2 linked regions of the Caenorhabditis elegans genome follow. The protein of the gene in region 1 purifies or fractionates together with the protein of each later gene. This does not show direct contact. Each region holds a gene or a part of one and is shown on either strand. Other genes may lie near its edges.

Region 1 (17,372 bases):
CTTCTTACAGTCACTAGATGTTTGTTTCTAAAATTGCCAACCTACCAATACTTTGACTGAATATTTTTCCAAAATCTAGAAATGTTCAGAGAGTTCAGCTATAATATTTGACCATGTTAGACTATTGATTGTGTGTGTCTTCTGACAATACTCCAGCTTTAAAAGTGGATTAGTATTTTAAGACTAAATAAATGTAGATGTAAAGTATTTCTCAAATAATTTTTGGCATTATCGGTTACTCAGAAAAAATTCCAAAACATCTTGGTCTGTATTTTTGTGGAGGATTGCAAAATTTAGAGGTCCTGAATGTTAGAGACTAAAATAATTAGAGAAGATTTTGACAGTTTTCTAAATTGTTTACTTTCTCTGCATTTTTTCTTTTTTTTTCTCTACATTCTTTTTCTCTATTTTGTCTACAGGTGCAACTGCCGTTGTGACCCAGACGCGAAACTTTGCAAGACCGTGTGCCGTATTTTCTGTTTTCATCGAAACAAATCTCGGCGTAAAATTATTAGAAAAATAAAATCCTCTGTTCCTGAAATAAAATCTGAAAATATCGGGAACTCCTCCTCCCGGGTTTCCATCAACACACAAAACGCAAGGATAGCCGTTAAATTCAGTTTGTGAGAAGTGAGAAAAATCCTTTCTTTTCAAATTCCTATTTTGACCCTTTGCTCTTCTTTCAATTCTATTCGATTGTAGTAGTTTACAACACAAAAAAAGGGAAGAAAAGGATTCCATTCAACGAAAACAAGGTATTTCGCACTGATGAAAGGAAGAGGGAAAAAAACGAAAAAAGAAAGAACAAAAGAGGGACAAAATGAGTAGTAGATGAGAGCCAAATTGGCGGTGAGCAAGAAAGAAGGGCTCGGTGCCAAAGTGGAAGGAGAGCTTGGAGTAATCGTGTTTTTGAAGCGCATCTCAGTCTGTAATTAGTCACGAAGACAGAGAAGGCGGGGCAACCGGAAATAGAGAAAAGTGGAAGAAGAAAAAGAAAAGAAAAAGATGGAGATGATTCTCCAATTTCAGAAGCTTAACTCAGAAGCTTAACATAGATGGAAATTATGGGCATAAACATCAATTAAAGTGATACTAGACGTCATTTATTTCGTTCAAGCAATCTGGGAAAAAATATTCATATCATCATAAAACAGAAATGCATCATTTTATGGATAATTTTGGTTTAATTGTGTAAATACTCTAGATATTTGTAATTCCATGGCTGTTTTAAATTTGAAAACTTTTCGGAATTTCTCTTATGTGAATAGTTTTATTCCCATTGTACATGGTTAATTTTGTATTTTTTAAACATTATACCAAATTACTACATTTTAATGTTGCGCTCTTGACAGTTCATAAAAAATATAGTATCAGGAAAGTTTTACAACGATTGTGGAATAAAAAGACTATTTGAAGTTGTTTGAAAGCGATTTCTGAAAGATTCTACCAAAAATTACACTAAAGATATAAACCTTCTACCTTTTAAAAATTGTAAAATCCATTTAAGATCTCGGTTACAGCCTTTTAGTTTAACGAATTAAATTTTCTATTTTGCCAAATTTTTTAAACCTCTGGTTTTCTTTTTCCCCTCCTTTTGCAGAAATTATGATCTAATTTACAGTAACACCGTAATAATTTTCAAAGCTTTTAGAATTAAAACGAGATAGGACAAAGACCATCTTATTATAAGTTAGTAGTAATTCAATTATGCTAAATTATTCCATATCTGAGCAAAGTTTCCGTATTTCACACACATTCTCAAAACATCCCAGAAAGTAATTAAAAAATTATGCTCCATGTTTCATTTTCCCTGAATGTCGTGCAATTTTAATGAATTGAGTGGGACTCCGTAATGTAAAAAATCATAGATCCTATAGAACTTTTGACTTCATATTTCTCTATTTGCTTTTATCGGGGTTTTTTACAAATAAAATTATATGATTCCAACAATTCTTATTAACCTTAAATTTATTTTGAAATTTATTTCTGATAAATTTTCCTTCCATCCAACTAAATTCAATTTCCAATTTCAGATTTTTCACATCTCAAATTATTGGTTTTACATATGTTCTTTATTCAAATCAGCTATTCAAATTCAAATATAATCCATCTCATGATTGGTTTCCGTGAGCATTTGGCCCAAAAGCTACTTGCACATTCTAATCGCATCTTCGCGTTGCCCCTGGTGACTGAGAATCGGAAATTCGCTCACTTTTTCCCACACGACACCCTTGGTCAGCCGCTTTGCGTTTTCCATCGATGAATTTTCACTGTTTTCACTAAATAGTTTTTATAAATGTTACGACTGGAGAGAGCGGGATTATCCATCTGTCGGCAGTTTAATATGGGTGCGATCAGCACTCAATTTGTATTGGAAATTTAAAATATTCTATGTTTTGTAGGACTTCCACTCTTGAAGATCGTATGTTGAATCCCGTGCAGATTTCATTTTGTAATTATTTCCCAACAAGAAATAACTAAAAGATTGTATATTGAATTCCAATAAGATTGACTGTGTATGACCAAAGTTTTAAACACGAATCAAGATCTCAGAGAATAATTAACAGTATTTTTATAGAATTTTTAACTTGCTACAAAAATTTGATTTCGATGCAATTGTTGCCCTTTGTATTTTGAAAGTATACTATTTTTGAAGAGAGAGGTAGAAAAATCTAAAGATAACATTGAAAAGTATTTTGTTAAGCAAACAACTTTCAATGTTTGAATGCTTGTTTTGTCACTTGGAGCTTGTATTTTGTAAATGTTTTCTGTAGTTTTGATTGAAAGCTTTTCCCATCTTCACAGACGATGTATTGCACAGTCTTATTTTCGGTAAAACTCAAAAACCCGAGGCAGAAACTTCAGGAGTTAAAAAATTAGACTTAAATATGTATAGAAGAAACATAGAACCTTTCGATTTGCTCGAACTCGAACTTCAAATTCTTTTTTTTTAACCTAGAAAATGTTAGAAAATGTTCGATGTAAACTGAATATGCACTGCACTTGTAACTGCATTTGTTGTGTGTGTGAATCACTTGGAAGTTCATGTAAATAACAGTATATAACTTCAAGGGTTATAAAAGGCACACCTTACATCAAAAATAATTTTCTTTTTTCCTGCTGTTGTGATTTTGCAATAAAATGCCCACATTTTCCAAACAAAAATGTTCTCAAAGTCTTAAACCCTGTTCATCAGCCACCTCGTGAATATACTTAACAATTCAAGTGACTCCATGACTCCGCCTACATTCGTTCCCTCATCTAGCTCACCGTTTTAACATTCAGACTTTTCTCATTTCCCTCCGATCGTCTTAAAATCCTTCTTCCTTTTTCTCTCCATTTCCGTCATTTTCGTCTTCTTTTTCCTTTTTTTTTCACAATTTTCCTTCTTCTTCTTCTTCTTCTTCTTCTTCAACTCAATAGAGCCTTTCCCTGTGTCTCTTTTTCTCCTTTCTGCCATCTTCACTTCTTTCGCATATTTCTCTATTTCTCTCATCCCAACGACGCGCTCTTTTCGGTTAATTTGGAGCTTTCTCCGTCCACCGCAGTCGGGGTTGAGCTGGGAGCAACGAGAAGGCCGTGAAAACATTGTGCCAGAGACTGCGCTTCCTCTAAAATTTCGTAAAAACTTTTTCACGCCTTTTCTATCACATCATCTCACCTCGTCTTGCCTCTTGAAATTGAATATGTTTTGGTCGACTTTTTAAATTTATTTATTTGCTTTCTTTCATACACACCAAAATTGTTTGGAAATTTTAATTACATGCAAAAATTTGCACATATTTTTTTGTTCTGTTTGTTTCAATTCCTACTTTCAATTTGTAGGTTATCTAAACGATACAAAATTTTCAGAATTACAAATAAGTTCAAATAATATTTTTTTAAAAATACATTTTCTGTTTAAACACTACAATCGACTATTTATGTAGATTTTCTGAAGAAAATTTTCTATTGCAATTTCTGCGTTATAAGTGCCCGACTTACTAGTCATAGCTTTATCTAGGGAATTATTGAAATAATATGATATTTCTCTAAATTATCACCTAATCCCATCCTGCTCAAACCACAGAACCGTCGAATTACGAAAAGAAATATATAAGCAGTAATATATAATTGTATGAATACGAGTTACTTCTCTTATTCTCTTCCCTTTTTCATAAAATGTAAGTGCCACTTATAACACGACTTCCTTTATGAATTCAATGATCTCCACGTGTTCTTTTTTTCATAATGACCACTCTTCGGGAACACTCATTTTTTATGCTCTTTTTCCGGCAATCGTCACTTTTCGTCAATATTGACTTTTCCTTGTTCCTAAGATGACCGGTTCCTCTTTCTTGTGCCTCGGTCTGTCGTCATTTCCTCAAAACATCACTTTCTTCAGAGAGTAGAGCTCCAGTCATGGCCACTACCGCTACTCGTCATCAAGATTCTAAATTGAGCGAAAAGGCAGAGAGCATTCTGGCTGGCTTCAAGCTCAACTGGATGAACTTGCGTGATGCAGAAACTGGAAAAGTTCTCTGGCAGAGCACAGAAGACATGGCTGACCCAAAAAGGGAACACAAAGGTAATAAGAATTTCAAAAAAAGTCTCGGAATAAACCAATCATCACAAACACTATGCCTGGGGCGGTAAGTAATATCGTCACTGACAACACGAGGGAACGAACGCGAGAGCGTCTCCCCCCAATGCGCGCGCACATCCACTGCGCCATTCTGCCACAGCTAGCAAGCAACACTGAGCGTGTAGTTAAGCCTTCACATGTCTTTTACCGCTGGTCTCTAATGCAATGCGTTTTTCCTACAAAAATAGAATTGCTTGAAGCCAACAAATAAAAACTAATGGATTGCAGCACACGTGCCAAAGAATCTTCTAAAATGTCGTACGGTGTCTCGTGAGATCAACTTCACTTCATCAGTCAAAATCGAAAAATTTCGACTCGAGCAACGCGTTTATTTGAAGGGAACCATCATTGAAGGTAAGATAGAATCACTCGAATATTCATTATGTTATTGCACGCAATGGATGAATAATATTGGCTTCTGGTGATGAAAACTAATTATGTATTCCGACTTCAGAGTGGTATTTCGATTTTGGATTTGTCATTCCTGATTCAACAAACACGTGGCAAAATATGATTGAGGCAGCTCCAGAATCACAAATGTTCCCACCATCTGTACTCAGGTAAGTAAAACAAGTGCAAAAGTACTAGATTTCTAAGCTTCAAAGCTTCACTTCAAGATACTAGAAACAGAAACATGCAAACCTTAATAGTTATTAGGTAAACATGACCGAGTATCGTAATCAAACATTTTTTATATCAGTCAGCGTTTTGGTAAATTGGCAAAAATTCAAAAATTGGGTTTTTGAGTAATTTCAAACATTGCTGTAGGATTTTACCAATACAGTGTTTTTTATAAAAATTAAAACAGACTTTCAATATTTGTACTGGTGAAAACTGAGTAATTACCGATAGTTTTTTTTTTGAGTTTTGAAACGTTTTAGTATTCTTTATGGTATGTAATTTTCGTACCACAGGAGATGCTGCACACCATCTTATATATAACTACTTAATCCTACTATAAAAATAACATTAAATTGTGTTCGAGGCCTTGACATTTCGAACGATTGAAAATACAATCTCAATTTTTCAGCGGAAACGTCGTCGTCGAGACTTTATTCTATGATGGAGATCTTCTTGTAAGCACGTCTCGAGTCCGTCTTTATTACGACTAATACATATACATTCATATCCATTTTTCCCTTCTAATCCTTCCCTGTTTCTCCATGGATCTCTCTTTTTTAATTCCTAAAACAATACATACCTAATTTTAATATTCAATTTCAGAATGAAAATCTTCAACGGATTTATTTATTCATCTATGTACATATGAATATATTTTACAAATTGAATAGCTCAGGAAAATTGTCCCAAAAATACATTTAGATTGCAGTGTTCACAAATGAAGCATTGACACGTGATAGCTTCTGGCGACTCATGTCGTTCGACTGAAAAATAGGAAGAACTGAAAATAATTGAAAAATGAAAGGACATGCATCAATCTTACCACAATTGTGTTTGTCCCGTTACGACGGAAACGGAGAAGTTCGTGGCACCGGCGACGGAATTCGAGACGGAAAAAGTAAAAGATGGGAAGGTTGAAACAAGATTGGAAACCATAGAGAAGATAGGCAACACCTGGAAACATTAACTATTTGAAAAAAATAATTTAAAGTTAATTCTTAATTAATTCTTAAGTTAATTAAGAATTAACTAGCTTTTCTTTCTAGTTTATATGTTATTATCTCATTATTCAAAGTGATATTGAAATGTTATTTCAGACTTCAATTTTAGTGTTTGACAGTTCATTTTGGTCAAGGCTTTGACAAGAGTTGAACTAGTTAAATTGGTTGAACTAGAACAGTCTTGACCAAGTCTTGTCAGACTTTTGAAAATATCTTAGAATATCTAAAATATCAAAAAATGAACTTTCTTTTCATCAATTGGCTCAATTAATGGCAAATATTCAAACCATGACTTCAACTATATTCCCATTGAAGTTCAAACTTTAAAACATGCTCGACACAAGTTTTTACGACTACACAATCAGTGAAGCATTTTGCATAAAAAGGTTCACTAACCAACAAGAAGTACGTCGAACTCATCGGAGTGCCACTGATCAGCAACCAGCACAAAATTAGGCACACTGACCATCAATACATTAATACCGGATAAAATTAGAATAGCCATTTGTTTCCGTTTCTCTGTGTGATTCAAGAACTGAAATGACAATGTTTTTATAAACGCGGTTTAATCGTTAGACTTTTTGTGACTAAATTCTAGCGAAAACAACGAACTTTGGAGCCGTGGGATCGTAGAAATAAGTTGAGTGTAACTGCAAAAGCTATCATGTACGAGCATGCAATCCAGCAATAATGAATAGTTCCATATACAATTCCAGTTGAATTCATTACTGCACACATTCGATCATCGTTTATTGAAGGAGAAGCAAAGGACACAACAAATGCAATGAATGTGAGGAGCTGGAATAGTTTGGTTTGGTCAGCAAGGAGTTATACAGTGAATATTATGGTGTCTCTACAGATATATTAACTTTTATTTCATCAGAAAATTGTGACTGTCCGTTCCTGAAAAAGTTGTCTTTCCTAAATTGGAGCCTTTTGATAAATTCAGCAAGTTGAACACAACATGGCCTTTATTTTTTAAAGTTAACCATTTTATTAGATCTACAGTACCACCCCACAATTTCATTGAACATCTTGTTACAAAAACTCACTCCACAGAGAACAATTCCAAATGATGACAGATAAAGTCTGTTTCTCCATGTCCAACGGCTCCGATACCAGCTCACTCTGTTCACGGCAAGCACTCGTTCTACAGTTAACAAACAGTGAAATGTTGCAGGTAGTTGACCACCGAATAATAAGAATACTGGCCACAAGTATGCAGTCATGCATTGTGAACTACTTGTGTCAATATGATATTGATCTCTTAACAATAGATCCAATCTTCCTGCGCCCGACATTATGAATGAAATTCCATTTATCTGAAAAATGTTGTATATGCAAATAAAACCAAGTTTACTTACCATATCCGAAAGTGACAATAAAGTGAAAAACACGAATCTCTGTCTAAAATCCTTACTGGAATTAAAGACAACCAGACAAATAGTGTTCGGAATAAGTACAAGTATTCCACATATAATATAAAGTCGACTGCGAAGAAGTATTTCTCCATCACCTGGGAACATCCTCTGAAAAATCATGACTACTTTTGGAGTACTGGATGACGAAGATTGTGACGATGAAACAAAGGATGAGTTGCTGGGCGGTTTAGGCACGGGTCAGGCACCATGTGCTCAGCACGTTTTAATTAAATCTTTAGAATAATGGCTAAAGCATTTGTGGTTTGAAGGATAGAAAATTCTTGGATCTATTTTAGAATTTTAGAACATTGGTGATCGGCTAGGTGTACACTTATATGGCTTTTGATACTAGAATTTTACATCAGTTAATTTATTAGAAAGGGAAACCCAAGTCTATTCTTTGCTTCGTGACACAAACTTCCATGCCACCTTGCAGAATGAGAGAATTCAAGCGAATATGTTTATCTTGAACAACAGCATCCTTCTGTCAACACGTGTTGGGTGGAGCCTGAGGTGATTGGACTACATATTTTTGAACTCAACGGTTAAAGATTCTCACAGACGTAGTATCCCAGATTCCTGGAAAATAGTGTGACTAAGTTTCATAAAAATGGAATAAACAGTATTTTTAATGTGCTTTGTTTCCTCTGTTATTTAGAATGCTGACAAAAATGAAAGAGTCGAAGCTGGAGGTACAGACCTCATACACAGTATGAACATCCCTGGTAGTTTTGTTTTTAACTTCTAATTAAAAGATCCTTCAAAGGATCTTTTTCAGAAATGTTACAAGTGGGGGCTGAATGTTTTAAAAGAAATAGAGCACCACATATCAGTCACAATCCAGACAAAACTAGATTAATCGTGTAAGCCCAAATTGGAGTTTTTTTTTAACGGAAACTCCCACTGAAAAGGTGTTAGTATAATGAGGCTTGTTGGAAGGTGGGTCGACCAATTCAAAATATCTCGATTTCTAAACCCGAAAAAACAATTCGAAGTTTTCCACCTAGTTTGGGAAAAACTGTCAAATTTTTTGGAGCACCTGGAGAACCTGGAACTCTAAAAGTGGATCGAAAACTGTCATAGTACAGAGATAGAGAACATTCAGAAAAATTTGCTTATTTTGGGATTGTCGACCTACTTGCCTCTTTTCTTCGTTCTGGCTGGAATGATATTAGCACTGTTTAAATTTAAGTTTACATATCGCGCGGTTTGATCGCAGACCAATCTTTTACGGTATCCCTAGTTGAACATTTGATAGTTTGTAAGAAATGGAAACTTTTTAAAAAACTTTTTTGCAATTTTTCAAGGTTTTTTGGACAAATACAGCGGCACAATAGTATTTTTCGCAAGAAAAAGTGAGATACATGAGAATAGAATACATCTGATTTTTTGATTTTTAATCCGACTAAAAGTATTCTTGACTATGAACCATATGTGCCCGCCCATCTCGTGCACCTGCTGAATATTTCATAATGAATCTGTGGGAAAAACGTGGTTTTTTTTTGTTACGTTCTTTGTGGCTACCAGAAGATTTCATAAATAGATCCGAACATCATGTGCTACGTGCCGATCATATGAGAATTTAAAGAACTTGCAACTTTTCTATAACTCAGAGAACGTTCATTTACAGCTGCAATAAGGAACGGAGTGGACCAAAGAACCTTCATGTTTCTTAATTAAGATGAGCATCAAGAGACAAACACGTGGTTGGAAGGAACCAAACTTTTTCTGAGCAACCAAAAATTCTAATTTTGTAAAAAAATAAAGAACTTGGTTTTTGAGCTTTTTGAGCATTGGAATAAATATTGAAATCACGAAAAAGCCTTCTCAAAGTCTAGTGACATACTTTTTCAAAACACTCTGAGAAAAATGAGAATATCTTAAGATCATAGTAACAAAGCATGGAGCAGGTTTAAAAATACGAATCACTGGAGGTGATTATTGTTCAATTGATTCTTGCAAAAATTTATTTAATTTGGGTTTATTTACCAACATGTGAAAATAAAATAACTCATTGAGCCGGGTTCAAATGCTCAACTCAAATTGAATTAGCTGACGTTTTCAAAAAATTTTATTGATTTTAGAGTATGCATATCTTACAAAATTATTTCTCATTGAAATTTTCAAATCCAAAATTATACAAGCCGTCGCTTGTTTTAGTATGGTACATATACTCTCCGAACTCTAATTGACCTCAACAAATCGACATTTTTCCCTTAACTCCCCCACCCACTTCTTCAAATCAATAGTTTCCAATCACTAACTGATTCATCAAATCGGATCATGCAAATTCAAACGAGAGTATATGTCCATTTTCCAATTTCTCTTCATCATTCTCCACAAACATGTCGGTGTCATCCGAACTGCCGACGGTAGTCTCAAAACCTCCAAAAACTCGCACAAAACTTCCAATTTACCTGGTTTCTGCAATTGTTGTGGCTCTTGTGATAATTGTTGTTGTTATTAATATTCTCCACAGACTTCCTGATACTCCTGATAATTCTGACAACACAAAAACTACAGTATCCTATTTAACAACAAATGCAGTCACGTCAAACCCTATAACAAGTCCATATGAATTCACTACAGAAGAAAATGTGATAACAAGTACAGCTGGAAGCATGTCAACATCTGAAAGTGATTCATCCTCGAGCAGTTCAGCAGAAGATCATAAAGATGGAGAGAACAGTACATTAGTACAAGTGACAGTCACAACTACAGTAATCCCAAGTACTACGGTAGAGGAGACGACTGTACAGTTCACATCGACATCAGTTGGACCATCAGAAAGTGGTAAATTATCTAATACTTTTAAAGGAAACGTTTGATAAATGACTGACTTTTCATGAGAACGGTACAACTGTATGGTTAAATTGAAAGCCTTAAAACAGAAATTAAAAATTGTTGAATTAAAATGCATTTCAGCTGTCTCTACTTCAACTCTAACATCTGAAATTACAACTGACGTCTCTGAAGCTTCAAGTGAAACCTCAGAAATACAATTTCCAACTTTAATTCCTCCAATTGGCGTCGAATGTGGCAAAACTTGCAGGTTCGTCGAGTGGATCGAAGATACGATTCATATTATTTCTGGTTATTTTGACAATTTGGTCAGCCAATGATTTCATGTACATACGTAAATAAACCGGTTTAACTTATTTTAAAAATTAGTATTCAGTTATTCGAGAATATGTTCAAAACAATAAAATTTCAGTGTTTCTGTTGTCGAATCGATTCCACGTGGAATATGGTTTGCAGACCGAGTTCACACAAAGAATGCATTTGAATCATGGGCTGAACTTCTTGGAACTGCTGAGAGGTTTGTCTGAAATTCATTTTAAAATTAAATTTTGAAGATTTTCAGGGAGATTGACATTTTTGCATTCAAAATGAATTTACGGGGAAGAGAATTGAAATATGATGTAGACAATTCCACATTTGAAGGACGTCAACTCTATAATATACTTGAAAATCAGGCGAAATCAGGAGTTTTGATTAAACTAATTGATTGTCAACCACCAGTTATGCCAGAATATGATTATGACGCTGATGAATTAGAGAGATTAGGTTAGAGTTAGTTGTAGAAAATTAAATGAATTATAAAACCAATATTTCAGGATTAATTCAAAGACAAGGATTGGATATGAATACATTGAATGGTGGATCAGGAGGTGTTCAACATAGTAAAACGTTTATTGTAGATGACAAGCATTTATTTGTTGGAAGTATGAATTTCGAATGGAAATCGTTTTCACAAGTAAGTTCTTGAAACAATTATCATGTACAGTTTTTAACCTATTAATTTGAACAAATTACGTTAATACACACAAATTTTCATATGTCCGATTTTACAAAAAATGTTGTATAGTAATCAGAGCATGGAGAATTGAATGGTTTAGTAAATATTATATTCGGCTCTACAAAACCTCATTCTTTCTTACAGAAAATTGAAATCGGACTGGAATTCCACGACTGTCCATGCATTGCCAAAGATGCTTCCAGATTATTCGATCAAATGTTTGGATCACTCTCTGGTAATGAGAAACTCGAAACTGTAGATTTCCAATCACATCGAATTGGAAATTCCACTTTCCAATTTCTGGTAAGTTTCCTTTTCCAGAATTTTATAATAAATCACAAATTTAGGCATCTCCATCTTTTTTCCTTACTTCTTCTCATAGCTGGGATCTCGAAGCACTTTTAAATCTGATTTATGAAGCAAATGATTTTGTTGATATTTCTGTAATGCAATATTTCCCTTCATGGATCTATTTTAAGAATAGAGAGTAAGGAAATTTAAAGATAAAAAAATGGTCATTTTATAGTGTTCAGGTTCTTCTCTCAAATCGATAATGCCATCCGAATGAGTGTTTCTCGTGGAATTAAATTCCGAATACTTGTATCTGGAGATCAAAAAGAAGAAGAAAAACTTATGTTTTCCTGTTTGCATAGTCTTTCTGTTTTACATTCTCCAACGGAAAATAGAAATATTCAAGTGGTACGTTTATTCATATCATCCAGACGCGAATATTTGTGCTAAATATACGGTACCCGGTCTCGACACAACACAATTTTATCAAGAACAAAAAGGCGTGCGGCTTTAAAGAGTACTGTACGTTTCAAATTTCGTTGATGCGGAATTCAAAAATATTCATTGAGAAAATCTATGGAAAACACGATTAAATTTATACCATTTACGGAAGTTTGAAATTACAGTACTCTTTAAAGGCGCACATCCGTTTGCAATCAACCAAAAATTGTCGTGTCGAGACCGGGTACCGTATTCGTGGGGCGAAATTTCGCGTTTAAGTAATATTCGAAATCTCCTTCGCAATTTGAACATTTATTAAATATAAATATTTCAGAAGTTCATTTTAATTCCACAAACCGCTCAAGAAGCTTATAAAGATCGTAAGATGCATGCAAAATTCATGATTTCCGAATCAAGAACCTTCATTGGTTCATCGAATTATGGACCTGAATACTTTTACAAATCAACTGGAACTGCAATTATTGTAGACGAAGAACCACATTATGGAGATATCAATAGACAAATAAAAGCTGTATTTGAACGGTAATTAAATATAAAAAATATTTAAAATGTTTCATTGTCTTCAGATACTGGCATAGCACGTACTCACAAAAACTTCAAAAATACGGTGAATCAAAAGGTTATCTTCCAAAAATTTCAAAACCATCGAACCCATTCTCCGGATGGTTTGGGTTTGATCAAATAGGAGTATTTAATGAGAAATACTCTGCTGACGGACTAGTTTACGAGAAGAACCATGGAGAAGATCAGATTCTCGATCCGCTTATTTTCATTTAATTTCGTGTATAAAATTTCAATTGATAAAATTTATTTTCCGTTTTTTATAGCACAAGAAATAAAATATTCGCACCCGAAAATTCAAAAAAGAAGGCAATTCAATTCTAGATACATACAGACTGGCTAAAAGAGCTTCTTACGATAAAAAAAAACAAGTCTAGTTTACAATTTACAATTCAACTGGATGTTGAAGAGTGAGTCCTCCATTTCCACAGACTTCCTTCGCCAATGATTCAATTGTTGCTACCTTCGAAGCATTCTCAACACCACTTCCGGCATCCTTCAGGAATCTGTTTGATGATTTCATCGCCTGAAAGAGTAAATATCGAAATTAAAACTTAAAATTTGGCAGTTATCAAAAATTACCTTATCAACGTAGTAAGTAGCAACTTTGCGTTCAAAATCAGCACTTGAAGATTTGTTCTTGATGGCATAGGTGGCACGAGAAAGAACAGCGGCAGAGCTGTAAATGTTGATGGCAGCGTCGGCAACACGGTGCATCTCATATTGACGATCTACAAAAATTAAAATTAAAAGCAGTTCAAAGGTATTTTATTACCAATTATTCCCTTTTTATGCTTCATGAGTAATCCTTGAACTGTTTGTCCAAACAAAGCAATTTGCTGATCCAATACTTTAGCTGAATCTTGAAGACTTGCGTCGACGACTTGCCCAAAGTTGGAGCCAGTGTTTCCTCTGAAAAATACAGTTTAATAATTCTAAAAATGTGATTTCACAAACCCGGTAACTCTTGAAACAGCCAACCCAATAAGGCCCCCGACTCCAGAAGCTTGCTCGGCAAGATGCTTTCCAGCATGTTGTGCTCCAGTAAGAGCAATGAAGAGGCGGAGAACATCATTGGCTCCTTCAAAGATTCTGAAGATACGAAGATCTCGGAGAACTCTTTCAAGACCAGTCTCGCGCATGAATCCCATTCCTCCGTGAACTTGAATAGCATCGTCGCATACAAGCCAAGCATTTTCTGAAGCTAGAACCTTGCCGATAGCTGCTTCAAGTTGATACTCCTTAATTCCACGATCCATGTTTGATGAAAGCATATAGACAATTGACTCTGTTGCATACAGTTTCGAGATCATTTCTACCAGCTTTTCTTGGATATTTCCAAATTCTTGAAGTTTCTTTCCAAACTGAACACGAGTGGTGATGTGATCGACAGTCTTCTGGATACAATGTTTCATAGCTCCAGTACAGGCAGCTGGAATTCCGAATCTTCCGTTATTAAGAATGTTCATCGCCACCTTGAAGCCTTCTCCTTCTTTTCCAAGAAGATTTTCAACCGGGATTTTTAAATTATCAAAGTGAACTTCAGTTGTGTTCGATCCCTTGATTCCCATTTTCTTCTCTTGTGGTCCACTGGTGACTCCACCAAACGCTCTTTCGACAATGAATGCAGACATCTTGTCCTTTGTTGAGCCATCGGCCTGCTTGACAGGAGTCTGAATAATCAATTGTGAAAGTTTTTCCAAAAAATGAAAATAAATTACCTGAGCAAACACAGTGAAAACATCGGCGAATCCTCCGTTCGAAATCCAGATTTTTCCACCATTCAAAACGTAGTGCTTACCATCAGCAGACAATTCAGCTCTCGTTCTAACTGACTGAATAAATTTAAAGTTTATGAGAAATTAATAATATTCTAGCTTACACTAGCATCAGATCCGGTAGTTGGCTCGGTAAGAGCGAAAGCAGCAAATTTGCGTCCAGTTGCCAAATCGGGAAGATATTTTTGTTTCTGAGCATCCGTACCCTCGAGAAGGATTCCTTTGTAGCCAATCGACTGATGAGCACCCATGACAACACCAAATCCAAGATCGTAAGCTCCAACAATTTCAGCGACTCTGGCCATCTGAGAATTGTTGAATCCGGAACCTTCAAGCTCTGGTGGAACGAGTACACCAAATGTTCCTAGCTCAGCGAATTGGTCCAAAACTGCTCTTGGAATGTCAGAAGTCTCGTCATTTCTGAAAATAAATAAATTGATCATGTAAATTTAAGATTTATTATTCACTTTACGACGTCATTAACTTCGACAAGCATCTTTTCCAGTGGAGACATCACCATTCCAAGAGTTTCTTTCTGTTCGTCAGTCATATTCAGAGGATACGGAAACACCTGGAAATTGGCAGTTTGAACAGGTCCTGCTAAAATTCTCAAATACCTGGTCAGTCACAGCTTTCCCTCTGAAAAGATTCATGACAAATGATGGACTGTCCACTGCAGCGACCTTCTTCGGTTTTGCATCTTTTGCAGCAGCAGCAGAATGCGAAAGACGAATGAATCGTGTTTGGTTGAGCCGTGCAGATTTACTCAGCGTTGACAGCATCGTTTCTCTGGAAGAAAAAACCAATAATATAGGTTTCAATCAGTGAATCAGTAGGGGGTAAATAGCGATGACGGAGATAAAGAGTGAAGAAAACAACTTGGGGGTCGAACGGTGGATAGAGCAGAGACGCAGCATGTGAGAGAACATAGAACACAGACATAACAATACTTTTTTACACTGAACGTCCAAGAGCAATCAAAATAAATAGAATTCAGAATAAGTTTTATAGAAAAGTATTTAGCATTTTATATGAACGCAAAAAAGAACGAATAGGTTTTTTGCTTTTTTTGGATTACATAAAAGAGTGTTTCATAAAATAAGAAGTTTAAAAGTTAACTAAAAATAACTGGAAACATGGTTTGCTCAGTATTTTTCGTAAATTTTCCATAATAAACTGATTAATCGCCAACATACACAAACGATGGAGAGGAAACGTGGAGGACGGTCATTGTTATCTCTTGTAGACTTTGCCCTATGTACTTTGAACGGCCCTGGCTACGCACTAGTGAAAAGACAATGTGATAAAATACACTTTAGCGCAGGTTCGATGAAATTTTCAAGAAAAACATGATTTTATAGCTCTACGGGTCACCTCATGGTACTGAAAAATTCGTATGAACACTTGTTGTCTTATATTTTATCTTTAACGGCCACAAAATAAATTAAAATAGAAAAAAAACGACAATTACAGAAGTTTTCTGCATCGTACTCTGAAAGAAAAATGAATCCGCAATCTGTCGTCACGGTGTTACGGTGGTGTGTTCACACCGTCGGCACTATATTTGACGGCTCATGTTTTAATGTTTTTTACATCTGAATAAATCTGTACATTATAGAAACGAACCGTATGGAATTTGGAATTCTTTCAATGTACGAAAGTGAACGAGTGAAAATATAAACTAATTTAGCGAATGCACAAGTTTGAAAACGTGTGAATTTTTCGGAAGGCTTTTACGCGAAAAAATAAGCTTTATTTTTTTAATTAAAGAAAGAGAAATGGTTCGTAGAATGGATACTGTAATTTAGCTATTTAACAGTCGACAAACAATCCTTGGTTGTTTAAATATCGGAAAAAATAAATCGACCTTCCATGTTAATTTTATTGAACAGACGACAAGGCGTCATAGGTATTTGATGAATGTTTCTGAATTAAGAGAAATCTGAAACTGGTCTATTAATTTTTGTGCGTGCTTCGCTTCAAAATTCAAAACGAAGGAAATTTATTCGATCATTTTCTATAAGTTGAAACCCAAATACTATAGTATACTATGAACACGTTGTACATCTCTCCCGACAAAAGTCTAGTTTTTATATATTTTTTAATTGAAATTTAAAGCCTTGTATACTTTTTTTGCAAATTATTTAAAACATCTAATAATTATCAGTATGTGGTAATAATTCTTTTAGTGCTTATTTTTAAAAAAAAACTATTGATTTCACCCTCGTTATGTAGTCTGCAGCGTAGTCTTATCAACACATGGGGTCAAGACTACACTGTACCGATTCCTTGTTAGGTATTGGCATTTTCTATTTCATTATTTGGTTTTTGTTTCTTCTCCGACAAATACTTAAAAATGGATAAGAAAACTGCTTGCGCACATGTGGCAGAGCCATGCGAGTTCTCATATTCTACCAGAGATGCTATTATTTATGCTCTTGGAGGTAATTTTTTCTAAGACCTTTTGAATAGTGATTAATAATTTCATTTAGTTGGTGCTCGAGCGAAAGAAGATTTGTGCTACGTTTATGAGAACCATGAAGACTTTAAAGTGCTTCCATCGTACATTGTTGCTCCAGGATTTCAAGCTCACACTTTGATGGATTGGCCAGGAGTTGAATTTGATCTTCAGAGGTTTTTCTTATAAGATTTCTTGAAAACACATGTTTAATCATTTTAGAGTTCTTCACGGAGAACAATATATTGAAGTCTATCAACCACTTTCAGCAGAAGGAAAATTGAAATCTGAAGCTAGAGTCGTTGATATTCTTGACAAAGGATCCGGTGCTTTGATTCTTGGAAATGTTACCACTT
Region 2 (16,400 bases), on another chromosome or scaffold:
GGGTCTTGTTGAGATGGACATGCTACTTCTCACCAAACAAGAAGCCGATCAAGAGCCAGCTGGAAAGAAACGATCCGAGCCGAACCACGTAAGTTTTAGGTGATTTTGAAATTGTTTAGATTCTGATGAATTTCAGAGCCCATTCTTGGAAAAACCTGATCGGAAGTCATGGGCCAACTCGTGGTTGGTGTCCCGAATCAAGCCGTGCATCAAGTATTTCTGGCACTACTATGGTCTTCAAATTCTGCTCTGGCTCATCATTATTGTTATTCTGATTCTCACAATTTTCGTGTTGTTGCACACTTGGCCGACAATTTTAGCCGAAATTATAAAGGCAATTTTCTAATTTAATGCCCCCTCATTTCATACCCCCCCCCCATAATTTTTATTTATTAGTGCTTCCCCTAATCACAATGTATTATTGTTTCCTACAATTATTTTTTGCTTTGTTTGTTTGTTTCGTTTAAAAAGGATCCTTGTTTCGTCAAAAGTTAATCAATATGTAACAAACTTCAAACGAAAGGAAGTCGGATTTAACAAGTCGAAATGTGCATATTGTGCAAGAACCTCGATTGTAATATGCCCATCTTGCTTACAGTCGTTATGCGCATATCGCGAATTAACTGTGCACCCAAAAAATCAATCACACCTTGTCGGCTTACTTCCATGTCAGTTCAACCCTACCTACCACAGCGGTGCAACAATTGTCGAAGTTTCTAAACTTAGTGTTTTTGCCTCTGAGTTCTTTCCCACAATTTATTTATTCAAAAAGACAAAAAAATTGTTTATTTAAAATCTCTTAATGGACTTCTGCTTGATACTAGCCGTCATAACTGATCCACCCGAACCTGCGGAGCCCGCAATCTTCTCAATTGGCTCTTCCCATTCATCCACGTCAATCCCTACATTGTAAGTAACAAACGATCCAAAATCAAATGTAACTTTTTTGATGTTTATCTTCTCGCCCGGTTTGTCTTCTCCGTCCATCACCTGAAAGTTGTGGTTATACTTAGATACTTACTTAGATACTTAGACGATCCGTTCTTCAGGAATTCGTGGTATTCCTGCGGATCACAGCAAGCCATTGTTTTCGGTCCTTGGCTATAGTGGACCAGGGGGTGATGACTTCTCCGTCTGCGTCACGAGTGGTGATCTCCTTTCGCAGCGAATCAGTCCATCGCATCGGCGGCCTTCCAACAGGCCTTTTCCATCCATATGGGCGCCATTCTGTCATCAACGTGGTCCATCTTCCGTCTTTCCTTCTCGCAACGTGTCCAGCCCATCCTAGCTTTCTCTTTTTCACGAAATTGAGCGGATCCCTGACTAGAGACATCGTACGAATGTCTTCTCGATGGAGATCTCGTTCTCGTTGTTGAGTGAGTGTGATTCCCACAAGCCGTCTTTCTAGGGAGGCATGTGTGATTCGTACTCGTTCGGATAGAGCTTTGGTGAATGTCCAGGCTTCTGAACCGTAGGTGAGCGCTGGAAGGACAATTGAGTCGAACAGATTCGCACGAATCTTCTTGTCGGTGATGGAGTCGGTGGTGTTCTTGATTCCATTGAATGCAGCCCAGGCTGCTCGACGTCTTCGGTGGATTTCCGGCATCAAGTTGTTTTGGGCGTTGATTTGACGACCGAGGTAGATGTACTCGTCGACGTCGTCGAGCTGGGTGGTGGGGGAAGGGCTACCGAAGTAGACTTTACTGGGGTCAGCGAATCGGTTTCGCAAGGCTTTCGTCTTCCCAGTATTGATCTCGAGACCTACTTCAGAGCATTTTTGTACGAGTTCTTGGAGCATTTTGCTGGCAGTATTCGGATGATTGGCGATGAGCACAATATCGTCAGCAAATCTGAGGTTCGTTAGATTTCTGCCATTCACTCTCATTCCAGGGATCGTATCGTAATCCTCAGCTTCTCCTTTCAATTCAATCCAGGAAAGCTTTCGGAAAACGTGTTCGAGGCAAGCGGAGAAGAGATTCGGAGAGATGGGATCTCCTTGTCGAACTCCTTTGGTCACAGGTACTGCGACTGGCCTGTGGAATGGGGTAAAATTTGTGGTACAATTTTTATAACACTCTTTCAGTAGATCAATATAGGCTCCATCTGCACCTTGCTCGTCGAGACTTTTCCAGATTGCCTGGTGTTCAACACTGTCAAATGCCTTCTTGAAATCTATGAAGACAAGTGTCAGTGGGATCTGGTATTCCCTGCCGACTTCAAGAAGTCTTTGGAGCGAGTGGATGTGATCGATCGTAGAGAAAGACCGTCGGAATCCGGCCTGCTCGACAGGTTGAGCCTCATCAAGGGATCTTCGCATTCTATTCAGCAAACACTTGGTGAATACTTTGTAGAGTACGGGTAGTAGGCAGATGGGCCTATAGTTTTCCAAATTCTCACGGTCACCTTTCTTGAAGATGAGAGTGGTTTTGGAGGTTTTCCAGGGTTTCGGTACATTTCTGCTGTGGAGGTACCTGTTGAATCGATCCGTTATCAGGTCAATGACGTTATCGTGGCAAGATTTCAAGAAATCTGCACTGATTTTGTCTTGGCCTGCAGCTTTACCATTCGGGAAGGAACGGAGAACATGTCGAATTTCTTCCGGGAGAAACGGCGGTGGAGTTGGCGTGGCGGGTATTGAAGATGTTTGAGAGTTGCTCACAGCGCTTTTGAAGAGCTCCGTGTAGAACTTCTCAATCTCCTGCTCCATTTTCACCCTGGAAGTGATTCTTTCACCAGTAGAGGTTGATTTGAGGCATGGGATAACTGACTTATATTCGTTGATGTCCCTAGCAACTCTTTTCAAACTCTTTTTCTGGTTCGCAGCAGATAGAAGGCGAGTACTGGCAAAAGCTTCATGGTCTTTCTGAACTGCTTCACGACATTTATCTGAAATAGATTTGAATTGGGGATCATTTCTATCCATAAAACGTCTTTTGTTCAGCAGTTTTCGGGTTTCCTCCGAAAGTCTGTTGGATGAGTGGTTGGCCGGTCGAACGATAGCTTGGTCTTGAAGTTCTTTTAGTGACTGAATCAGATTATCATAGTCGGTATCTAAATCAGGATCACTCTGAACCGTGACTGTCGCTGAGATTGCATAAGCAAACGCCGGGTCCAACACTCTTTTCGGAGGTTTTCTCCGTCTGACCTGCTCCAACTTTGCTAGACAATTGTTGAAGTGGAGGTTACAGCGGAGTAACCTATGGTCGCTACCATTTGTGAAAGAGGGGAGTACAGTGGTATCTGTGACAAACTTTCCATTGGCCAGAATGTGGTCAATTTCGTGTCTGTGATTCCCGTCGGGACTGACGAAAGTCCACCGTTTGTGCATAGGCTTTTTGAACATAGAGTTCGTGTGCCACAGACGGTTGGTTTCACAAAATGTTGCGAGAAGCTCTCCAGTATCATTTCTTGGTTCCATGGCATGGGGGCCAATGTACCTTTCGTTGTTTTGTCTGCATCCCATTCGAGCGTTGAAGTCGCCGATAACAAGTTTATACTTGCTTCGGCACTCTCTGAAGACGTCTTCAACACGGTCGTAGAAGTCGCAGATTTCCTCAAGGTCTGAGTCCGCAGTTGGAGCATAGACTTGAATCACCGTGCAGTTGAATTTTCGGCTCACTTTGAAGGTGAGTAAGCCGATGCGGTGACTAAGAAATCGTACTTCTACGATTTTGGGAAGGAGGGTGCTTCGAACTATGAAGCCGACCCCACCGGATACAGAACTTTCATTCCGTTTGCCTAAGAAGACGCCGGTACCGTCGTGATGTATCAAGTGTGCCTCGGCTGCTCGTTTGGTTTCACACAATCCGATGACGTCGAATTGGATTCGCCTCGTCTCTTCTAGCAACTCAGCAAGTCGATCATCCGAAGACAAGGACCTGCAGTTGAAGGTGCACACGCGATAGTCAGTTCTTCTTGTTTTGTCCCGCGGCTTCTTAATTTCCAAGTCCGATTGACATATGGTTTGGACTCCGAGATTAGATCGCCTCTTCCGACGTGCTCCAGGAACTGTCTTTCCCTTTGCAGAGGCCGGATGCGGAGGACTGAGGCAGGATGGGTTGCTGTTTAGAGCAAAAGTTGTGTCTCTAGATACTCTATAATGACCTGCTAAGCCAATCTAGAGCCGCCCGGACAGAAAGTATTCGACACTACCTCTGGCCTGCGTGAGACGGTGTACTTCTTGGCCAGATAATTTGCACTTGGTTCCAAACCAAGCCACTCTCGATGTGACGAAATCATCGAGTTTGTTGAAGTGGTTATCTGTTGATCCCTTTCGCCACGAAGAGGCTTAGTACAGAAAGAGCCAGTCAAAAGTTAATCAATATGTAACAAACTTCAAACGAAAGGAAGTCGGATTTAACAAGTCGAAATGTGCATATTGTGCAAGAACCTCGATTGTAATATGCCCATCTTGCTTACAGTCGTTATGCGCATATCGCGAATTAACTGTGCACCCAAAAAATCAATCACACCTTGTCGGCTTACTTCCATGTCAGTTCAACCCTACCTACCACAGCGGTGCAACAATTGTCGAAGTTTCTAAACTTAGTGTTTTTGCCTCTGAGTTCTTTCCCACAATTTATTTATTCAAAAAGACAAAAAAATTGTTTATTTAAAATCTCTTAATGGACTTCTGCTTGATACTAGCCGTCATAACTGATCCACCCGAACCTGCGGAGCCCGCAATCTTCTCAATTGGCTCTTCCCATTCATCCACGTCAATCCCTACATTGTAAGTAACAAACGATCCAAAATCAAATGTAACTTTTTTGATGTTTATCTTCTCGCCCGGTTTGTCTTCTCCGTCCATCACCTGAAAGTTGTGGTTATTAATTTTAAAAAGTTTAAAACAAAAAACGCACAGCATATTCAGTAACATTGTTGGTGTTTAGAAGAATTTGTCCTTTCTCTTGAAACACGATTTTTCTGGTTCCGTCATGTGTTGAGGGCTGGAATTGATATGTTCAAAGTTGCCACGTAAACACAAAGACGTATGCCTGCATGCCTGCCTTCATGACCAATGCCTACCAGTGCTGTGCAGTAATGGGAAATTTTTCACCGGTTTCCGGAGAATTGTAACTTGGTTCCAAAGTCTATATTTGACGATTGCCAAGACTTTGGCAATTCTAAATTGAAGGCAGGCAGGCGGTTCAAAAACACACTTGAACTATTGAAATGTAAAACTATTGTAATAGTTTAAAAAAAGCTTGAATACATGAAAACATCCAACAGATAGAAATATCTTGTGAAAACTTTTGTAACGTACTGTTTCAGAATTGCCATCCTTTGTAGTTCTCTTTTGGGTTGGTTTTAGAAGTCGCGCTCGGTGTTTCATGAGCATTTCATTGCCTTCAAGGACCCTGAAAGTTATATTTGAGTTCTCCCATACAAACAATTATTAAAGTCCCGTAACTATCCGTATTTCTTCTATTAGTATTGCCCACCACAGTTTATCTTTGACATCTCAGTTGTCATATGTTCTAGCTTTTTTTAAATACCTGCCTTCGTACCTACGAGAAATCTCTTCAGGTACGCACTCAGACAGTATATATTGTGGGGATGCTTGTTTTTCTGTACTTAATATTCAAGCCAAGAAACACAAGTTGAAATTTCAAACAAGATTTTAAAAAAAACTAACATATTCGCATCTTCAACAGTATTTGTAGAAGTTTGTGTTGTAAAGTGGGACGGAGATGGTAAAACTGCCGACGGAGGATCTTCTTGCTTCGTTTGTTGTAACTTCATCATCTTCTTCTTTCTCATATTCTTCCTGTGTATCGACATGTATATACGAATTATTTTCATCAAGAGAATCACAGAAAGTATTTGCAAAATGAACGATGCCATGATGTATGCTCCAGTTTTCATAAAGAAGTCTCTAAAAAGATTAATATGTTTTCGATTTTTTTTCAAAATAGCAAAATTGAAAACGCTATAATATAGTGAAATTCAGAAAAATTAAATAAAAATTGATTCAAAAATGGCATACTGTCCTTCATCGTCCCAAAGTTCGACTATAGGTTTTTGAGATGTTGGTCCGATTTGAGATGAGATGTTTGAGATGTTTGTGGGATTGCCAGGATTCTGAGTAGTTAAGGACATTCTTCAATTACAGAATATATTTGTTTTGCCGAAATTTAATGTTCCGTGGAGAAATCTGAAAAACTTTTGATGTATTGTTGTTTCGTGAAAATATGAAATCAGTTTAAAGGAGCGTGGTGTTTTCGGAGTGGGTCTCGACACGATCTCAGTCACAGTCTAAAACGGATACCTGCAGGCGCACGGATTTTGTCCGATGAGTCTCGACACGAAAAATGAGTCAGAGTACCATTTCTTTTGCGGTGAGACCCATTCAAATAAATCCGTGCGCCTTTAATGTTTCGCAACTTTGAAAATGCACGTTTCCAAATGGTTTTCATTATTACCTAGCTCAATCCGATTTGATTGAAAACTGAAGAAAATCGAAAATGAATCTTATCATTAATTTCGATTCACTCGCGTCAAAGAATCTGATTTCAAAAAAATTATTGAATTGTAATCATTTATTTCTTTGAGTTTGTTATTTCTCAATGTATTTCTAAATGTGAATTGAAAGTTTTGTGAGCCGTTCATCCATTTTGAACGAAAAATTCGCTATATTCAATCTGAAACACTGAAACAACAACGTCCGTATCAAGAATTAACAATATGAAGTTTGATAGGTAAGTTAGTTTTCTTTCTTTAGTTACTTCTTTAGTTACGTTTTCTTTAGTTACTTTTCTATTGTATTTTATTTCCTGCTTAAATTAAAGAGGCATGAGTCTCGCGCATGGGTCTCACCACGCTAGCAACTTTTTTAAAAATAATGTCAGAAATTATCATTTAATTTGAATATCAAGATTCAATTACAATAACTGGTTGTCCGCGTGGCGAGACCCAAGACCGTAAGATATGGCGTATTTTCTCAACTTCTACGTAATATGAAATATTCTTTCAGAATTTCCATCGAAACAAGCGTCTTCACAGTGTTTTGTATACAAGCCACGATCTGCATAATTTGTTTCATCATATTTGTTGTTGGAAGAATTAAATTACAACGAATGAAAATGAAGAAATAATTTATTTTTAAATTCATACTAACGATTTGAGAGATCATACATAACAAAATCGAAGATTTGGTAGGAGCAAAATTAGAGTGAACAAGGTCATTTACAAAATAGGAAGACACAAAAAGTAACAGATAATAAAAATATTTAGTTGGAGTCATTGAAAATGAAATTAAATCTCGAAAGAGTGGTTGGAAGAGAGGAAATCAGTGGTCCATAGGCGGCTGCGTTGTCATAAAGTTCAAAGAGTGGAGCTGCGACGAGTTTGAAGTTTTTGGGAACGCAGAATGTTGCTGAAATGTACAAAACATTAAACTGCTTAGGTTTCAATTAGGGAAAAAATTCGAAGACACTTTAAATTTTGATCTTATCAATTTTTCAGTCTCTTACATTTTGAGGGCAACTGAACAAGCAACAGCTTGGTGTGCTCCTTGGGTTTTGTCACGTGCGCAGGGATGTACGGGTAACGGGGAGGATCAAAGTTTGGTCGCCACCAGTTGCCTATCTCATCCTCGATTGTCCATTCGTTTGTCTCCCCATCGGTTCTTCCGAGTGTCTCGTTTAGAAGACGTGTGACTCCAGATATCTCATCCTCACCAAGTTCCAATTCTCCACCCGGCCTGCAATTTTTTTATGAAACTTTCAGATTTTAATAGGAATTAATCTCACAATTTATAAAAGGTGGTACCAATCTGCAGGAGTAGGATATGTGGAAGTGAGTGCTCATGAACAATAAGCACCGCTTCAACTGATCTACGCATTCCCATCTAAAAAAATAATTGATATCGGTTGGAGACAATTAGAGAACACCTACCACTTCATATTCGTCTTTCATTCGTTTGAACCTTTCTGGAACTGATTTGTCTTTTTCTGCTTGTGCATCTTTAGTACCAAATGTGTAATTAGTCAACGGATACACGTTGATTGTTCGATTGAACGGAGGTTTTTCATCAAAGTTCGCTGGAGCCTCGGGCACAGATGCTGAAATTGTTGTTCTTTCGATTGTTGGCCAGATGTCTTCCATTTTAACTGAAATTATATTTAAATTTTGAACCAATTTAGAGTACACAATTAAATATTGACGAAGAGCAAATTAAAAAAAATGAATTGAAAACTGGAAAAAATTGTTTGAAAACAAAATTACAAAAAAAATGTACAGATGGCCTAGAAACAGTTTGTCCATGGGGCGCGGTTGCAACGTGTGAAAACTAGTCCGTCTGAATCAAATTTATAAAATTTTCACGCCTTTATCGTAAAAATCTAAAAAACAACAATATTTTGTTCATTTCTATAATTTTTGACCGTCTAAAACGAACATCTCAATGAGAAACTAGTTAAGACGCAGACGTCAAAGAACGCTCGCCTATCAACTACTAGCCAGTCACATTTTAAGTGTAAACAATCGGTAAGGAAGATAAAGAGACGCCAGAGAAAAATCACACATCACTTTTTTCATTACTCTTCACCTTGAAATTCTTTGCTCCCAGTATGATACTCTAGACATTCTTTGAAATTTCGTTTTTGAATCGTTTTGTTATGTTAATTATGTGAATTTATATCCAATAACACATGATGATCTTGCAGATAAATCGTTGACTTTGTATCATTCCAACTAGAAAAACCAGCAAAGACTCGTGATTTTTTTGCAATTTTCATGCCGCACGACTCAAATGAGGTAAGATTTTAAATAAATTTTGGAACATCTCTGTCATAAAATCATATTTTCAGGGAAAACAGAGGCCCAGTGTCGTTTTGTCACTATCCGCAGGCGCGATCGCCGGAGCTTTAGCCAAAACTACAATCGCACCTTTGGATCGAACTAAAATTTATTTTCAAGGTAAGAATTATGTCACTTCGAAACAATCGAAAATACACCTAATTTTTTGTATGTTCCAGTTTCAAGTACACGTGGTTACTCATTCCGATCTGCCATTAAATTCATAAAACTAACATATCGGGAAAATGGATTCTTTGCATTGTATCGTGGAAATTCTGCGACGATGGCTCGTGTTGTGCCATACGCGTCGATGCAATTCGCAGCCTTCGAGCAGTATAAAAAATTGCTGAAAGTTGACGAAAATGGGTGAGTTTTAAAGTTTTTTTCACACCGAGGTGGCAAATTTAACTTCAAAATGTTAATTTCCAGAAGTCGAACACCCGTGAAACGATATATAACAGGTTCTCTTGCCGCCACAACAGCTACAATGATCACTTATCCTTTAGACACCGCAAAAGCTCGTCTTTCAGTCTCTTCAAAATTACAATATAGTTCTTTGAAACATGTTTTTGTAAAAACATATAAAGAAGGTGGTATTCAACTATTGTACAGAGGGATTTATCCAACTATACTAGGTAGGAATTCTTATGAAAAACATCTTTCTTATCGATTTTTGTTGATTACAGGAGTAATACCATACGCTGGATCTTCCTTCTTCACATACGAAACTCTTAAGATTATGTATCGAGATCATAGAGGTGAAGTTGTGAGTTGAGAAATTATTTCTATACGTTATTATGTATGATAATTCAGGAAAATTCCTACTACCGAATGTTATTTGGAATGTTAGCTGGTTTGATCGGTCAATCATCGTCATATCCACTCGATATTGTGAGAAGGCGGATGCAAACAGGGCGAATTCCGAGTGGATGGAGTCCTCTTAGAGCTCTAATTCATATTTATCATACGGGTATGACTATTTTTTGAATTATAGTTTTTTTTAAACCTTACTATAATGACAATATAGTTCTATCAGAAATGGGCGGTTGCAATTAAACAAAATAACCTGCTTGTTCCAACATTTTTTTAATTGAAATTCAATGTCAAAGTATAGAAAATCACTTGATGTGTCCGAAAATCAAATTAATTCCAGTTGAAAAATTTGAGAAAGTGCTTAAAAATGATCTGAAAGTTGTCAATTACTGATTATCGAGTTATCTAACTTTGTTTTTGGGCAAATATCAACTTTTTGGATAATTTAAGTGATTTTCTATACTACGATTTTCTAAAAAAAATATATGGGGTGAACATGGCGCAATATTTATGATTTTTCAATAATTGCCGCCGTCCACCTCTAAAACAAGATTTTGGAATTTCTAAAGTAATTTTTTATAGCTACACATAAAACTCCGAACAATTCACAATATTTGAGTGGGCTTTACTAGAATAAACTATACAGCAAACAATACAAAAACATCAAATTTTCAGAGGGTTTGAAACGAGGATTGTACAAAGGATTGAGCATGAATTGGCTGAAAGGACCAATTGCAGTCGGAGTCTCGTTCACCACTTATGAAAAAGTTCTGGAACTTGTGGGTCATCTAAAACGATAATCAATGGAACTCTCTCTTTTCTTACCGCCAAAAATATATTTTCTCATGATTTGTTTTTTTTCTATTTCGATTTGACTTTAATTTTTACTGCATTTGTTTTTTTAGATACCGCTAATTTTAGACTGTTTAGTGGATAGTGAACGTGAATATTTAGAAGATTTTTTTCTAATCCAAAAATAATTTTTTAATACTCAAAATCATATTTCTTCTGTGAATACTCAATTTTTTTAAAAATTTCTCGGTTATTCTTTTCCCCTCTATTTCATTATCAAGTGCCAGTGTTTCCCCGCCAAATCAACTTTCCCCGTTTTTAGTGATTTTCAATTTATTGCTCAATTCATAAACGGTTTTTATTTTTATTATTCAACAGTAAGTGTTGAAATTTTGATTTCAGGAGCTTTCATCGTCTTTTCTTGGTAATTTAGCCGTAAATTTGTATTTTTCGAAAATTTCTCAAGGGTTTTCGACTTTTATCATTAATTTCAGAATAATTTATATACGATGCCCAATTTAAACGCTGTGATCGCACGTTAGTTTAGTTTTTGGAAATACATAACTAAATTCACGATATTTCAGAAAATATTTCAAAAGGAGATGTCATTTGGGTTCCATACAGAAAAGATCCTATGTGGCCAGCACTGGTTCGTTTTTTTTATAGAAAACTGAAGATAAAAATACAATATTCCCTTTCTGCCTCAACGAACTCTTTTTACAGGTCAATAATGCTTATCCCAAAAAAGTCAGCTACAGCTTTTTCCCTTTGGCGCCTGGTGTCGATGAAACGAAAAGAAGCCGATTCAGTTGTGCTCCAAAAGTAAGATCAAAATTACCGAAAACACGATGCAACTATTCTCGAATTTCAGTTAACATACGCACTAGTCACCACCGAACCTCTTCCGGAAAATGCAAATTCTGATTTAAAAAAAGCACATCGCGCGGCTTGTGAATATCTTTCAAGTAATGGGAAAACTCGTGGTTCGAATATTCAATCGCTTGGTGAAGCTGCTGGTGGTTCAGAAAAAATGAAGAAAATGAACGGAGAGGTGACGAAGAACAAAACTGGAAAACCCGAAAAACGGAAAAAGAAAGTTGATTCTGAACAACAAGAAAACGAAGAAGATGATGAGGATTTAATGTCACCAGGTAAATTACACCTTTACCGATAAAATAGAATTAACTAATAAAAATTCCAGTTTCCAAGAAACCTTCGTCTTCCGAACGCTCAACACCATCCGGATCACAACAACAACCTCCAATTACCGAAGAACAATCGAAATCTATGATGAAAATGGTACGAGATAGTTCAAAATTATAATTTTTTAACATTCAAATTTCAGATTGATGATCGTTTTGAAGTTCTGATCAATGAAATCTGGAAGAGTGATGAAGTGGCTCAATCCAAAAACCAGACTATGAAGGATAAAATGACGATCAAATTGAAAAACAATCAGTTTCTGAAAGGTAATTTACAAAAAAAGTTTAATTTTTACTAAAAGCATATTTTTTAAACCGAATTTTGTGATATTTGCTTCATTTTTTATATTTAAAGATTTAATAATTTCAGAATCCGACTACGACATAGTCTTCGAGCGAATATTCAATTTTATCCGCATGCAGAATCCGTCACTTTCCTTCATTTCCACATTCAATATCACATCTTCTCACATCATTCCACACATACTGATCACTTGTTATTCAGCGTGTAGAAATTTGGATTATCAAACTTCAAAAGAAATTTTCTATCAACTAAATACTCGCGTCTTAGGGTATGATTAAATGAACAATTTTAAGTTCTCATTAATTTAAAAAATTTTCAGCTTGGATTCATCAATGAGCATTCCTGTCACTGATCACCTGGAAGAGCTTTGCCGCTTGGCATGTGATGAAAGCGATGCAATTCAAAGTTAACTACCTAACTAGTTATATATCTCAATTATCACTGTAAAAATGTTTCATCATGATATTATCCCAAAATACATACCAAACCAACTTATTTGAGCTATCACGTGTTTGCATTGTCTTATAAGTATTTATCACTTTATTGTTTTATAATGATACAGAAAAATTATGCATTTGCGTTCATCCTGTGTACTAAATAAAATTTCAGTTCTCGAGAACGAGCATGGGGACAAGATTTCAAAAGACGGAACAGCTACCCAAACAAGAGGAAATGTTTTCGAAGAAATGAGATGAAAATGGCGAGTTGAATCACACTATCACTAGGGATGGGGATGGGATTTTGATATGAAAGGGGAGAAAAGCAAAACATTAATAAATTAATAAAATTATTTTAAACAAAGGTGTTAATTTTCAAGCGGCATGTGTAGTCTTATGTTGATGAGCGGCTTCTTCTTGCTCTTCGTAGAAGGTAAGCACCAAAGGAAGTACACAGAAGATCAAGAGAACTCCTGAAAAAATGAATTCTCAAATATCAAAGATTTGACATTTTTATACGACCAAGAAAGAAAAAACCTACCTAAAACAACCATCCAAACAGAAATAGATGACGAAGTTGGGGCTCGAGCGGTTACAAAATGAAAACCAGTGACACCGTGACTTTCTTCTGGAAGAGCTTCTCGAACTTGAGCTGAAATTTTTCTATTTGTTTTTTAATAATTTTTATTAACTTTTATTCACCTATGTTAGTATCAGTTTTATGGAAAATATCCTCGACACTGGGATCTCGTGAGCCTCGATCTTCTCGCAGAAGTGCAGTTCTGTCATCAATATCTGTAAATCTTTAGAAATTAAAGCTTTATCTCAGCAAAAAAAAACTAACCAATAAGAATTTCGTCTTCTTCGTCTTGGCTTAAAGCCGATTGTACGCCTAACGCCATTCTCATTCGGCTAACTGGAATTTTCACTTTTGAAAGTGCCATAAAATCTTGCTCGGATACCATATTATTCACTCGTTTTATTTCGGCTACCTGAAAAATATTGCAAATAAAATATTTTATTGAAACCGACAGAACTCACATTTACTTGATATTTTATTGCCAATTTATTGAGTGTATCGCCGTTTTTTACTTTTCTTTCAATAAAAACTACATCCTTGTATGTGGGCATATCGTTTTGGAAACCTTCACTCGATGAAGTCCTTGCTGCACGACTTCTCATTGCAAATTGCTCCACTGAGCTGCCTTCTTTCATTGCCATTTTACTGAAAATTAAATAAATAAAAATAAAATGTATTTTTCGAAGTTGTCAAAATCCACGAGACACTTAAAAACATCGTGTATAAATCAGAGACGCAGACACAAGTACAGTAATTTTGAAGGCGCCTATCTCGAAACCATAAAATGTGTCCTAACGCGCGTGTGGATTTACGGGCGGAACAGAATCAGCCTTCGAAACGTTAAACTTGTTCAATCCTGTTTTTTTTTATTTTTCTGTATTATTGTAATGATTTTGCCTTTTTTCAGCAAGTAAATTGATAAAACAACACCTTTTACTAAATTTTCTTACATTTGACACATAAACAGCTTTAAAACGCTTAACAACGAAACAATTTCACTAAATAAAAATTTTAACGTTTCAGAGAATGTAAAACTATCGGTTTAATCTATTTTCAGAGTTTCAGCGAACTTAATAATAATCAAGTTTTTTTGCGAAAAAATATATCCAAAATTTGACAAATTATGTCACATTTTCAGATGAATTCCTCATTAAAAATTAAAAGAAAATAGGAAAACGTACCCATGGGTGCACCTTTAACGTCAACGTTTAAACAAGATTAAATAAATACTTTAAAAAAGTGTCCTAGAAGAATGTTATAGTTTTTCACTAATTTATTTTTTAAAACTTGATTAAAACGGAAGAAGCTTCGAAAATCTTCTTTATAATGCATTAATGTCTTATCTCTCAAATTACGCATTAATTGTACGATATCAAGTGAAAGAGAAAGTCAGATGATAGTACATTTAGTACAGTTTTTCACCAAAAATTATGTGTTCCATTATTTAGTTTACATACGTGGTATAATTTTAAATAATCAATAAAAACTGAAATCCACGTCGCAGGATGCCGTAGCTACAGGTGCAAAGAGATTATATCTGGCTAGCTGTTTCCACGCAGCGGGACGCTGCGACAAACGCACGCAAGGATCCGGAAGAAAAAGAGAAACGAAACAGAAAAAAACAATATGCAATGTGTCTATTGTATACCCGTCTCGCACCCTCCATTTGCTTTTCTATTTTTCAACTGGCTTTTGCTGGCCGCCCTTTCCAATGATCGATAAATTGCGCTCTACCGAACACCTCGGCTGCCCTGCTACCGCCCTTTTCCTTGGCTCTTTAATTTAAGGCTTAACATATTTTATTAATGATTCCTGATGTTAAATTTTGATTTTCCAAAATATGATCGTCTAGATAGTCTCAAAAAATGTGCATCGTAAATACTTTTTCATTTTCTTTCTCGCTCAATTTTTCCTTCCATCTCAAATATTTTTGTTTCCAGGGTTCAGAATGCTTGGCAAGTGCATCAAAAAGGCGTCGTCTACCGTCGGACAATCCATCAGATACAGCTCCGGAGACGTAAGAAACCTCGAAACTTTATAAAAAAGCCAGTTTTGTTCAGGTTCGCCGTGTCACTTTAATTCCAGGAGACGGAATTGGGCCGGAAATTTCAGCTTCTGTACAGAAGATTTTTGAGGTGAATTTTCAATTATTTCGTGTGTCTTACATCATGTTATTTCTAGGCCGCCGATGCCCCGATTGCTTGGGACCCAGTTGATGTGACTCCAGTTAAGGGACGCGATGGAGTCTTCCGTATTCCAAGTCGTTGCATCGAGCTTATGCACGCGGTTAGTTTGAAAATTGTACATTTATTTCTGATTGTTACGTTTTTCAGAACAAAGTTGGACTTAAAGGACCACTCGAGACCCCAATTGGAAAAGGACACAGATCTTTGAATTTGGCTGTGAGAAAAGAGTTTAGCCTTTACGCCAACGTTCGTCCATGCCGTTCCCTTGAAGGACACAAGACATTGTACGACAATGTCGATGTTGTCACAATTCGTGAGAACACAGAGGGAGAGTACTCTGGAATTGAGCACGAGGTATATTAAATTAAATAATAAATGTATCACCTAATAATTGTTTCAGATTGTCCCGGGAGTTGTTCAATCTATCAAGCTTATTACTGAAACTGCTTCTCGCAATGTCGCCAGCTTCGCCTTCGAGTATGCTCGTCAAAATGGGCGCAAAGTTGTGACTGCTGTCCACAAAGGTAATATAAATTGAAAAAGAAAATTAAAACAATTATTTTTACAGCCAACATTATGAGACAATCCGACGGTTTGTTTTTGTCCATCTGCCGCGAGCAAGCTGCCCTCTACCCAGATATCAAGTTCAAGGTATGAATAATAGAATTTAAAGAAAAACCACTTCCTGTTAAAATTTATAATCTATAATTTTAGGAAGCCTACCTCGACACAGTTTGCTTGAACATGGTCCAGGATCCATCACAATACGATGTTCTTGTCATGCCAAACTTGTATGGAGACATTCTTTCCGATTTGTGCGCTGGTCTTGTTGGAGGACTCGGAGTCACCCCATCTGGAAATATTGGAAAAGGAGCCGCCGTATTTGAGTATGTTTTTTGTTAAAAAATGCTTTGACAAATGAAATGAACTCAGTTTAGAATTTTTGTTAATTTCTGAAATTTCAGATAAACACATAGAAGTGAAATCGAAAGCAAAAAATACGAAATTATAAAAGTAGGAAATACTAAAAAAGTTGAATTTGATGAAATCTTGCATTTTTTTAATCTTCTCAATAAAATTTAAATCTAATTTTTTTTAACCTGAAAACTTTATTTTATAGCGAAATACAATTTTTTATTCAAACAAAACTTACCAAATTTCTTTACAGATCCGTTCACGGAACCGCCCCAGATATTGCTGGACAAGACAAAGCAAACCCAACTGCTCTTCTTCTATCTGCCGTCATGATGCTCCGTTACATGGTTTTTATATCGTAGTCGGTCT

Evidence for each region.
Region 2: the proteins of C27H5.6 (region 1) and cfim-1 fractionate together in Caenorhabditis elegans (co-fractionation; one large-scale study listed by BioGRID). This does not show direct contact.

Annotation. Positions count from the first base shown.
Region 1 is NC_003280.10:7,179,424-7,196,795, forward strand, and holds C27H5.6 (G_PROTEIN_RECEP_F1_2 domain-containing protein), read right to left. Parts: upstream 7,788-17,372; coding exon 7,611-7,787; intron 7,569-7,610; coding exon 7,299-7,568; intron 7,045-7,298; coding exon 6,859-7,044; intron 6,782-6,858; coding exon 6,643-6,781; intron 6,200-6,642; coding exon 6,069-6,199; intron 6,010-6,068; coding exon 5,944-6,009; 3' UTR 5,855-5,943; downstream 1-5,854. Other genes in the region: pdl-1 (Phosphodiesterase delta-like protein), read left to right, coding at 4,402-4,567, 4,853-4,978, 5,079-5,184, 5,655-5,736; E04F6.4 (PLD phosphodiesterase domain-containing protein), read left to right, coding at 10,013-10,460, 10,593-10,719, 10,882-10,986, 11,032-11,234, 11,285-11,424, 11,611-11,769, 11,814-11,953, 12,000-12,165 and 2 more; acdh-12 (Very long-chain specific acyl-CoA dehydrogenase, mitochondrial), read right to left, coding at 13,166-13,306, 13,363-13,511, 13,556-13,692, 13,738-14,453, 14,502-14,615, 14,663-14,978, 15,026-15,129, 15,176-15,340; maoc-1 (MaoC-like domain-containing protein), read left to right, coding at 16,915-17,002, 17,051-17,192, 17,239-17,372.
Region 2 is NC_003279.8:8,607,102-8,623,501, reverse strand, and holds cfim-1 (Cleavage and polyadenylation specificity factor subunit 5), read right to left. Parts: upstream 8,115-16,400; 5' UTR 8,110-8,114; coding exon 7,900-8,109; intron 7,853-7,899; coding exon 7,755-7,852; intron 7,706-7,754; coding exon 7,476-7,705; intron 7,379-7,475; coding exon 7,233-7,378; 3' UTR 7,098-7,232; downstream 1-7,097. Other genes in the region: Sperm vesicle fusion protein fer-1, read left to right, coding at 1-88, 137-346; F43G9.8 (uncharacterized protein), read right to left, coding at 4,613-4,813, 4,863-4,949, 5,267-5,360, 5,639-5,878, 5,990-6,102; F43G9.21 (uncharacterized protein), read left to right, coding at 6,688-6,701, 6,977-7,097; slc-25A42 (Mitochondrial coenzyme A transporter SLC25A42), read left to right, coding at 8,740-8,760, 8,814-8,922, 8,982-9,168, 9,232-9,437, 9,489-9,568, 9,616-9,772, 10,291-10,415; F43G9.4 (PWWP domain-containing protein), read left to right, coding at 10,917-10,944, 10,992-11,056, 11,131-11,229, 11,279-11,558, 11,609-11,706, 11,753-11,876, 11,980-12,181, 12,233-12,318 and 1 more; lmd-1 (LysM domain-containing protein), read right to left, coding at 12,726-12,823, 12,892-13,002, 13,053-13,145, 13,195-13,342, 13,392-13,571; idha-1 (putative isocitrate dehydrogenase [NAD] subunit alpha, mitochondrial), read left to right, coding at 14,879-14,947, 14,991-15,065, 15,112-15,216, 15,264-15,470, 15,517-15,640, 15,685-15,767, 15,831-16,003, 16,285-16,378.